Xenopus tropicalis: one gene and its partners. The protein of the gene in region 1 purifies or fractionates together with the protein of each later gene. This does not show direct contact. Links are inferred from orthologs where the notes say so. Each region holds a gene or a part of one and is shown on either strand. Other genes may lie near its edges.

What was found.
Region 2: the proteins of ints6 (region 1) and ppp2cb purify together in Homo sapiens (affinity purification with mass spectrometry; 3 studies listed by BioGRID and IntAct, with this or other methods). This does not show direct contact. The link is inferred for Xenopus tropicalis from reciprocal best matches to the Homo sapiens genes INTS6 and PPP2CB.
Region 3: the proteins of ints6 (region 1) and polr2c purify together in Homo sapiens (affinity purification with mass spectrometry; 3 studies listed by BioGRID and IntAct, with this or other methods). This does not show direct contact. The link is inferred for Xenopus tropicalis from reciprocal best matches to the Homo sapiens genes INTS6 and POLR2C.

Annotation. Positions count from the first base shown.
Region 1 is NC_030678.2:149,909,868-149,913,623, forward strand, and holds the start of ints6 (integrator complex subunit 6), read right to left. Parts: upstream 2,828-3,756; 5' UTR 2,416-2,827; coding exon 2,305-2,415; intron 2,099-2,304; coding exon 2,021-2,098; intron 6-2,020; coding exon 1-5. UniProt on the Homo sapiens protein: Component of the integrator complex, a multiprotein complex that terminates RNA polymerase II (Pol II) transcription in the promoter-proximal region of genes.
Region 2 is NC_030677.2:97,482,133-97,485,818, forward strand, and holds the start of ppp2cb (serine/threonine-protein phosphatase 2A catalytic subunit beta isoform), read right to left. Parts: upstream 2,942-3,686; 5' UTR 2,735-2,941; coding exon 2,633-2,734; intron 1-2,632.
Region 3 is NC_030680.2:76,285,172-76,288,927, reverse strand, and holds the start of polr2c (DNA-directed RNA polymerase II subunit RPB3), read left to right. Parts: upstream 1-1,264; 5' UTR 1,265-1,289; coding exon 1,290-1,375; intron 1,376-2,908; coding exon 2,909-2,958; intron 2,959-3,164; coding exon 3,165-3,233; intron 3,234-3,756. UniProt on the Homo sapiens protein: Core component of RNA polymerase II (Pol II), a DNA-dependent RNA polymerase which synthesizes mRNA precursors and many functional non-coding RNAs using the four ribonucleoside triphosphates as substrates.

The DNA of each region.
Region 1 (3,756 bases):
CCAGCCTGTAAGCAAATAGAACAGGTATATGTCAGATTCTTAAACATAACATTTTCAGCTTATAAATAAAGACAAAAACTGAACTTAATAGCAGTTAAATGTTTGCTGTGGTGAACTCTAATTTCACACTTTGATAAATATGCCCCTTAAAAACTTTGCTCACATAGGGAGCACTGGGGACAGGATGTGCAGAAAACTTCTGTAGGTCCTATCCCCAGTGCTCTTTAATGGATGTGCATGCATCCAGGGTTGGGTGAAAAATCCCTTTAAAAAAATATATATTAAATATATATTTATTTATTTATTTTTTTAAATTAAATTTTTAATTTTTTTATTTTATTTTCTATTATTATAGTTATATATTGCACCCTTTTTGATTCAGGAGGACAATATTTCATTCCACTGTGTACTTGTAAGTATATTGTTGGGATGACAATAAAACTCTACTTACTTACTTATATTGTAATGGTAGTATAAGCAACATATAAAAACATTCTCATTTCTAGATAAAAAAACAAAATATATTTGGCACCCATATCAATGTAAAAAATCCCATGGGGAAGGGGTTCAATTAACAGTCTGAGAAATGCTGATTTATGCTAGGTCATGCAAGTGGACAAAGGCTGGTTATTTAAGAACGTACTGGTACAGAACTAAGAGTGGATAATCACACAAGCTAGTTCATGCCTCTGGCAAAATGCAACTAAAATAAAATGTGTTGTTCACATAAAAATAAGAAAATGCCAGAAACGGTAACACACAGTAAAAGAACAGATGCAGGTATTGTGACTGCAAAAACCAGAACAGCATAATAAATCAAACAATAGGACTATGCTCATCAATACTAATAATAATAAAGTGACAGCAAATGAATGAAGTGCCGTATAATAGGATAGCAGCAAACATGACTGTCGAGCACGAACATTAATGCTAAGAGCAGAAAGAAAGTATAACACAAAAGTCTACCCTCAAAAACTTACAATCCATACAAAAATAATAAACAGTTGCCGCCAAAATGCCTTTAATATTATCTTAGTGTTTTTAATAAAGAAATATACTCAGTGTGCATTTAACTGCATTACAAATACTCCAGGTGTGCAACCTACAGCCCGCCAGCTGCTGAACTACAAATGGGGTTCCTTGACAATAATTTGGCTCTCACGTGACAGTGAGAACTAATGACTGGGAATTTGTTTGGTGGACACTTAACTGTTTTCATATGGTAACTCCCTGCAGCCCCCAAGTCTGGTGGACATTTAACTGTTCTCATATGGTAACTCCCTGCAGCCCCCAAGTCTGGTGGACATTTAACTGTTCTAAAATGATCATTCCCATCAGCTTTTCAGACACTGGGTGCTGGGAGGTTAAGGATTGAAGGTTGGACATCCCTTGTTAGTATGTGTGTGTTTATATTGTATAAATATAAAATATATACATATGCACACGTGTTAAAATTATGTATCATTCTAAAAATGCATACAACAAATATAATTTTATATTCCTATGTGTAATTGTATATTGCTTTGATAATAAGAAAAAAATGAAAAACAGATGAAGATTAAGCAGGGACTTAATGATAATATTTTACACACATGCAAAACTTATTAGCTGTTATTGTGCTGAGACCTTCCCCACTTTGCAATAGGCAGATATAAGTGAGACACTAATGAAAATACATTGTTTTTATCAGGAGAGTCACTAGGGCCCACAATAGTCTCTCACAAACAGCAGCCCTGACACTCCAGGGCCCCTATCGTGATCTGCGAAGTTCCCCTTGGGGATGTCACTTTTAACTTGAGTCTCGATCTCCCACAGTTCCTTGCGGCTGCGCTGGGTTACGAGGGGGAGGAGTGGGGGATGTCGGCCATGTTTCTGTCAGCTACTGGATATGTGTGTGTGTGTGAGTGCGTGTGGTGGCTGTTAAAGGGATACATGCCAGCAAGGCTGACACAGACATGGCACACAGAGGGAGGGGGAGCAGTGGTGCCTGCTACATGATGCTGATTATATTTATGATTACCTTGATCCCATAAGGAGGCTCTTCCAGGGTGACCAGCATGTACCTGTCTCCTCTGCTAGCAGGATCTCGGGATCTGAGCTGAGAAACAAGACAGAGAGGAGCAGATGGGGTCAGTAGGAGGGAAGGACAGAGGCAGATAGAAGATCAGAGGAAGGGGGGAGAGCGTTAAGTAGGCAGCTTACAAGCGCCCCCTGAGTTGGGGGTAACCCTAATGGAACAGGGGGGTAGTGGTGCTGGCACCCTGGCTGCTGCAGCTGCTCACTGGGAGGGGGGTACTACTATACCTTCATGAAAGTCTCTACTGCGCCTTTAGCTATGTCCAGGTAGGTAGTGCCCAGGTGGGTGCGCTGGTTCATTGAAGCGGACGTATCTAGCAGAAAAAGTAAAATGGGCATAGTGCTGCCGCTGCTGGTACAGGCGAGGAGCTGCTACATGGGCAGTTCCATTCGCCCAGCACGGGAAACACAAGGGGGCTAAGCAGGGTGTGGGGGAAACAGCAGCGGAGTGTCCCTGAGTCTGCTAGCTGGCTGCCCACAGCCCCATATCCTCTTTGTATGACGGGTCGTGGCCTTCAGTTCCAAAAGGGGAAGGTTCTTTAAGGGGCTATTATTGATGGGGATGGGTTTTTTGCAGTTTGGGACCCTTCTGAGAAATTCTTCTGTATTATATCATGTTTCTGGCTGGAAGGGAAGCTGGCTTGGCTAAGTTGGATTGTTTATGCCCCCCGTGGATGTGACAGAAGTTTGAATGAGTTCAGCACTACTTCCCCCTGCCACAAGCTCTGTCTCCCTCTACTGAACGCTTCCTTTCGCACTCGGAGCTTTTAAAGCGAGGAGGAGGGGTTCGACGGCTCCTAATGCCGTTACGTCAGAGTCCCATGTGACGCGGGACAGGCGTGCCTTATTGGACAGCATGTGCTTCGGCTCATGTATATTCATGAAGGGATTGTGTTACGCGCATTCATTAACCCTATCGGTGGCTGAGATCATGGGGAAAGCGAGTCTCCGCGGGAGGAGTTGGGTTAAAAAGGAAAGAGCGCGGCAACGGGAGGTGTCATGCGCGTTCATGGAAGTGGGCGGGGAAATGCGGGACGCGCGTACGTACGCGGGTTTTGTGCGGCGCGCTTTGCCTTGTGTATAACGGGCGTCGTCGCTGTGTTTTTTCCTCAGTCGTCAGCAGAGCAGCCGAGGGCATGGTGGATGCGGGTTCAGATGAAGGAAATTAATGCTTTTTATTTACGTGCTTGTAGTTAAACTCCTCATTCGCTTTATCTTTATATCCTCTAGTGTACATACGTTTATTTCTGACCAGCCCATATTGGTTTTATACGTTCAGTTCCGGCGTTCTTCTGGCGACTGTCGTTTTTCCCCATGGCCTGTTTCTTGAGCGCTGCTCGAAAATGCTTGCGCGACTGGGAATGCTGGGAAATGTAGTTTAACTGCGGAGTACAGCGCTTTCCTCAGGCCCGTCTTCACAGTTGGACTGCGAGTCCCGGTATTCTCAGTATATAAAGGCTGGGGCGTTTGTTGTTGATCTAATGTTATATCTGTACAGGTATAGGATCCCTTATCCGGAAACCCATTATCCAGAAAGTCTCCCGTAGACTCCATTTTAATCAAATAATTCAGAATTTTAATACTAATTTCCCTTTTCTCTGTAATAATAAAACAGTGCCTTGTAATTGATCCCAACTAAGATATAAATAATCCTTATTGGATGTAAAACAATCCTATTGG
Region 2 (3,686 bases), on another chromosome or scaffold:
GGGTTTTTTGCTCCATCTCAAAGTATTTGCTTTGGGCTGCTATCAGTTATGTGAGCTTAGGGGCTAACTCATAATATACAGTGTGAATATAATGTAAAAGTTCAAAAAACAATAGTAATGAAGTCAAAATCACATTACATCACCTCACACTAACCAGTGCATTTTGGATCGCAAATGATCATCCCAGTAGCTTCAGCTTCTATAATAAATGTAATATCACTTTCTGTTCAATAATTTTAATGACATGAAAAATTAGCCTGTGGCGAGTCACTGGCAAGCACAAAGTGGTCTAGTGATCAAAATTTATGAGCTGCTGTGGACAACTTTGAAAGAATGGGTCATTACTATTGTAGGGCTTCTACTGTATGATTGGTTTATAAAATAAAGTATTTCTAGCTGTAATGAGTTAGGGCTTTATTTATTTTCTTCTTTAAAAGGGGGAGTAAAATAAATAAAATATTACCTTCTTCAGCAAAGGAAATTGAGAGTTAACAAACAGAAAAGTTAGGGTGAAATGGATTAAAAGGTGCTCAAAAGTCATGCGCTATTTATTACTAAAGTGAAAGGCCACTGTAAATTTAATTTACAGTGGAGGATGTATGGCTTCTTTTAGCTGACCTTACCCTTCAAAGTTTTACTGTTTGGTTTATTTTACATTTAGCCTAGTTATATATACAGTTAGATATAGTTATTATTGTATGTTGTGAAGTACTATAGTCCTATTTCCTTAGATGGACACACATTTCATTTCCCATTATGTCTGGATGCTTGATTTTATGTTGAACGATGCTGTTAACTGTAGCACAGCACCATTAAAGAACCCAAACTTAAAGGAGTAGTTCATCCTAAAATTAGTTCCACATATGGTATAGATGGTAGCATTCTATAACAATTATTAATCAGCCTTCTTTTTTTTTTCTTGGCAGCTTGGAATTTCAACTGATATGAGGATGGTAGGACTTAATTGGCCTAACAACCAGACACAAAAGAGAAACTCAAAATGAAGATGAACAGTAAAGTGTCCCATTAGAATGATGTGCAATGAAAATAAAAACAGCAACACATCTGAGGACTTACAGTCAGTCAATCAGTTTAATGGTTGTCAGGATCAGGAAACCCTGACAACCAAACAGTATTTTCAGTTGAAGGCTGGGGGAATAAAATAAGGATTCTGATAAATCAAAAGCTATTTAAAAAAAAAAAGATAGGTAAATGAAAATATGCTTAGATTAATGGCACACAACGCGTAAAGAAAAGGCCATAGTCCTATCACCCATAATGTTACTACTGAACATAAAGTGCCATATCAGATGGACATGAAGAGGTAACAGAGACACACTGGCCCAATACACTCAAGCAAAAGCTTTGCGCATAGGTCCACCTGTCACCACAAGTATTCAACAGTATTAAGAGAGGTGACACGTGTTTACTGAAAACAGTCTGGCTACATCATAAGTATCAAGCTCTCAAAGGATTAAAGAAAGGTACTCATCAAAAATTAACTTTATATTTGTACCTTTAGTGCAATGACACATGGAGCTAATTGCACCAGCTACAAAATAGTACTGATAATTGTCTCTACGTGTGTTTTAGCAAAGATGGTTCTCAGTACTGTCTATGGCAAAGTATTTTCTGGGGCTTTGTAGCCGCTACAAGTAGCTCTGTGTGCTGTAGTCCTTAAACAGCATTTAGCTGCAAGAATCACTTAACTGTAGTGATTTTCCCTACAAGGAAACACTTGCATTACAGGTGAAAAGTTTCCTCCAGTTTTTGCAATCCATCTGTTTGTATTTTGTAATCTGCTGTTTGAGAGCAAACAGTTGATTAAATGTTATGGATTTAAAGATGCTTTAGCAAACTTTGTGCCTGTTATTACATCATAAAGTCACATCAATGCACTCTGCCAACCCTATGATTATTAGCAAAGATGATAGGGGTACATTGTTGCCCGTTTAATTTAGAAAATAAATCCCTGAGAAAGGAACACTGGCTGTGTTCAAGGCACCCATCAAATTATAAAATCTCACTCTGAATAGTAATTAGCTACAATACACATATATGTTAAAGGAACATTTTAAGATAATTCCACATGTCAAATTGTATTCTGAAAATAAATGAATACTAATGCCACTATTGTAAGCTCTACGGGGCAGAGACCTCCATCCTTTTGTCTCTTTGACCCTTAACTTATTGCAATTGTATCTTGTATTTATTGTTATACTTTAAACTTATCTATTATTATCTTAATAACCCCCTGTTTGTATTAATGTATTCTACTGTACAGCGCTGCGCACATAAGTAGTGCTTGCTAAATAAAGATATAAATACATACACTAATACATTCAAATAAGCAGGGGGTCTTAGAAACTGGAACCAACAGCTGCCAATCAAAAGGGAACTAAATACAATTTTCAAGATCAGAATCCTACACAGTAAATCCCCTGATGTATGTTTATTTGCTGTGTGGACGTGCCTGTATGAACAAGCGAGGCCCCTTACAGGCGTGTGTATGTTTCTGTGCGTAGCATGTATTCCCCCTACGAGATCATGACGGTATCATGCTGGGAGTGCTATACACCTATGTATGTGGGGCTGAGTGTTTACAGACGTTGCTGCACAGGGCCGGTCTCACCTTCTCGCACAGGGTGCGCACTTGGCTCTCGTTGAGTTGCTTGCAGTCATTGAGCTGCTCGATCCACTGGTCCAGTTCTTTAGTAAACGTCTTGTCCTCCATGCCAGAAACTTCCAGACAACCACACTATTCCACGGTAACACACGCTACAAACATACACGAAATTCCGCACTGTGCCGATCGGTCTGCTACCCCTCCTCTCTGCCCCCTCTCCTGTCACACATTCACTAGCACGGCCTACGCCTCCCACCCCCCAACTTCGTGCGAGGCTACGGCCGGTGATGACCGGACGGAAATATTCACGTATTAATAAGGCTTATGTTAAGGTATTGCCTGTCAAAAGGAGGAGGCCGAAACGCGACTATGTCGTTGTAGCTTTCCTCCTCCTCATTCAATTTCACCCCCGTACTTGCGGGAGCGCGCCGAGAGGGGGTGGAGCTGATAAAACGCACAGAGACAACGAATGGCAGACTGAAATGTACATGCGCGACACAAGGCATAACCTGCACAGCGACAGAGCGTGCCCGCGCCCGTAAACTACAGAAGCGTGCACGGAGACACGCAACGTCAGACTGAGAGGCGGAGGGATGCGCGCATGCGCAAGGAAGCCCCCACCTGCAGAAAAAGTTTTTTTTCGTTTTTTTTTTTTCTCAATGATCTTTATTTGGGTTGTTGTGGGTAGAAACGGGTGGAGTAGAGTATAGTGAAAGTGACAGCGGAAAGGCAGATGTGTTCGTGTTTGACACCCCATTGCTATAAAACTGGAAACGTATAGTTGCGGTACGTGTACATGCAACTTGACATAGATGCATAAATATAGCTCGATTTCCTTATAATATAAAGCTGTCTAATATTATAATGCGTTTTGTAAAGGTGTTTTTCATGGTACCAGGGGTGCAAAATATCTGCCTCTGATAATTTTAGGAGTTGAATAGTTTAGTGTTGGGGGACACATTCGCATAGTGAGCAGCGGTTCTGTGTAAAAGTGGAACTGGGTAAAAGAGACTGCCCAAAATAAAAAATGTTTGCAATATAGTTAGGCAAAATGTAATCT
Region 3 (3,756 bases), on another chromosome or scaffold:
TAATAGAGCTTCCCCAGCAGAATCCTGCATTGAAATCTGTTTTTCGAAAAGACAAACTTTTTTTATATTTAATTTAAAAAATTTCACATGGGGCTAGCCATGATCTTCATTTCCCAGGGTGCCACAGCCATGTGACCTGTGCTCTGATAAACTTCATTTACACTTTACTGCTGAGCTACAAGTTGGAGTGATATCACCCCCCTCCCAGCAGAACAAAGGGAAGGTAGCAAGATAGCAGCTCCCATTAGATATCAGAATAGCACTCAATAGTAAAAAATCCAAGTCCGGTTTTGGACTCCTCCAGTTACATGGGAGTAGGAGAAACAACAGATTGCCGAAAACAGTTCTAATGTGTAGTGCTGGCTTTTTCTGAAGACTCAGACACAATGCACTGAGACTGCTGCCTACACACCAATATTACAACTAATATCCTGCTGGGCCCCGCTAGACCCTGCTGGCAGCCCACCTCTCTCCTTTATGGCCCCAACCCACCCAGCACTTTGCTGGGCCCTGGCAAATTCATGCTTCAGTGATAAGCCCTAGCCACCTGCTCACCTATCCTTCACCTTGTTGGGCCCCACCAGGCCTGGCGACTATGTCCCGAAACAAAACCATTTTCGTGTTGAATGGGAGTTTAAGTTAAAAATGGTCATGTGTTCCGCCATCTTTAATTTTTTATGCAGGCAAAACTTTCAGAGGTGGCGCAGGTAAGAGAATGAGGATCTAAGGAGCAATAGAAGAACAGATATAATTGTCTTTGACAGAACAGGGCAAGCAGCATGAAGGCATAAAGAAGAAAGGTTTATGACATGCCTGAGATAAATGTGCTGATACCTACTTGCTGCATTCATTTTACTGGCATGTGTAAAGTTAATACTTACATTATCAATTTCTGCAGGTCTAGAGTAAATGTGATCATAAATTATTTAACGCAGTGATCTTAAGTGTATGTCTGGGTAACTATAACTAAAGTGTGTGGCAAACGGCATAAAAATGTTGGCACCATGCTCAGTGCATTTTTAGACCCCAAAGTTTCAGATTTACCGCTAAAGCCCCATATTTTGTTGCAATATACTTGAGACATGATCTACAATGTTAGGTGATGGGTACCAGGTGCCCCAGTCCGACACCGCCTTTAACTAGTCATCCTGATCGTTAATGATCCATATAGAACTCAAACTCTATTGTTTGTAGCCACGAAAGGCAACCCCTTTCTGTACGCGCTTGATCTCTGTGGTCTCCGGTTCTCAACTTCCGGTTTCCGGTTTCTAAGTTGCTGTGTTGAGAGGATGCCGTACGCGAACCAGCCTACAGTGCGGATAACGGAGCTCACTGACGAGAATGTCAAGTTTATCGTGGAAAATACTGACTTGGCGTAAGAGACCTTTGACTGTTATGGCAGAATAATGGGTTTAATTGCTTTTTTCAGAACGATGTGTGGTGTGCATGTTGCATACTCGCTGCCCCAGACTGCCTGTCTCTCGAATCCCAATTCCTGAGACCCCCACATTTATAATGAGTGGTAAAGTGCGAGGGAATGGTTAGGTGGAAATAGAGTTTAGATTTTTATTTTTCCAACTTCGGCTAGGTATGATGTGGTACTTATTCACCATTGTGTCATGTATCTACTTTGTGTTATTCTGTTGTTTCTAATTATCCTAAAAGTGTAAATAATAGTGTGACTATATCACCATATGATGACGTATGTCATGCTGGGTACCACTGGTTTCCTGGACGCATCTCTTCTCTAAAGGGCAACTAAAGACATGATAGAGGTGTGACAAGTTGGCTGTTAGGCGTATGTAACCCACATATTGTACATCGCTGCAGAATATGTTGGCGCTTTATAAATAAATGTTAATGTAATGTAATCACTCCTTCTTTGGGTTCCACTATTTTCTGGTGCTTCTGTATGAAACTGTTTCATTTCCCTCAGGGTCACCTGTTTGCATGGATGCCCATTCTTCTTTTTAACCTTTTTTGATTGAGAATATTTATTTTTGGTAGTTCTTTTAACCCTTTTGGTTTCCCATGTGTTCAGGAGCAACTTCTAGTTCACCTTTTGTGTCTGTTAGTAGATTATATAGTGCCTGGCACCTAAAGGGTTCATTTAAAAAAAAAAAAACTGCATGTTTTCATACCAATATCGCTAACATACTTTGTAAAGGAGACATATTGGATAAATGGGAAAAACGCTAATTTTGTAGGCAATTATGAATAATATACGGTTCTGGTTTCTGTTTGTGCTAAAAATTAATCTTCTCTGTAAAAATGGCCCCTTTATTGGAGCTCCCTAGTGTGAAATGAAGAATGGGCGTGTCCTAACAGTACCTGCCAGAAGCACAGTAGGAGGGGGAGAGCCAATCACAGCCCTGCACTCAGACAAGCAAAGACAGGCTTCAGTTCCCTATCAGGTCAGCCTAGCTGCTGATTGGTTCCTATCCTACAGTGCAGTGTACGGAGGGCCGCCGGCTCCCCAGCTCATCCAGAGAATTCAGCCAGCAGGAAGTGGAACAGATGGGCGGGGCTAGTGGGGTTTTTGTGGAATTTCTCAATAAATCAGTCTGAAACACAACATTATTAAGCACAATCGTTCTATATCTAGAGGAGTATAATTCACTATAATTCATTCATAATTTTTATAGGATATGTCTCCTTTAAGAGGCCTCAAAGGCATAAAACTAAATTTAGAATTAGAAGAAATGGAACACTGCTTCCCATGTAAGGTAGTAATCATGCTGCACTTGATTTTTTATAGAACCATTTTTAGGAAATGTGTATTTGAGTGCTAAAAATATGCAGGTATTATTGCTATAAAATAATGAGTAAAAGGAAAAATTGTTACACTTGTTCCTCTGTATAAGCAGCCATTAATTATCTAATACTAATAAACCTTTTTCTATTTCAGAATTGCTAACTCGATCCGTAGGGTGTTCATAGCAGAAGTTCCTACTATAGGTATGTGCTCTTGTCCTGCATAAGAAAGGTTAAAGGGCCCTTGTTCAGCATGATTGCAATAAAGCTTACCTGAACAGGAAACACTCAGTGCAGTGTTTGTGAGCATTAATGTTTTATTACATTAGATCTCAAAACCCCTTGTAATGCATTCTGGTGCCCCTTACATTAAAATAACACATTTTTGTTGTTTATGTTTTATTTTACAGCTATAGATTGGGTGCAGATAGATGCAAATTCCTCTGTTCTTCACGATGAGTTCATAGCTCACAGAGTTGGTAAGTACTTAAAGATAAATTTACATTGAGTAGCAGGGCAATATTTCTAGTTAAGGCTACTTGCACTACTAGCAATACGTTGTCTAGCTTGTTTTGCCATTAGGGAGAAACTCCAGTTGCTATTGTACAGCGCTGCGGAATATGTTGGCGATAAGTGATACTGACAAGAAAAAACTACTTTTTAAATTATGAATCTACATAAAAAGTTACCAATAGGTCATGTTGATCAGTTTTTGTTGATAGGTTTGCTTTTATTAGCAATTGCTACTTAAACCTGACTGTTTTCCCAACCTGACTGTCCCTTCTCAGCCTGTCAGTTATAGCTTCTAATGCTAACGGACTCCTGCTGCACAAATATGGCCGCTCCCTCATAGAGGGACATGGGAGATCAGATAGGTAATGTAAAAGCATCTTGCAAATACTTTTATGGCAAAATTATAAAGCTCATGAAAAGACAGTGTTATGATAGATATAAAAAAGGTTTTTTTTTCTGGTGTCAGTATCTCTTTAATAATAATAATAG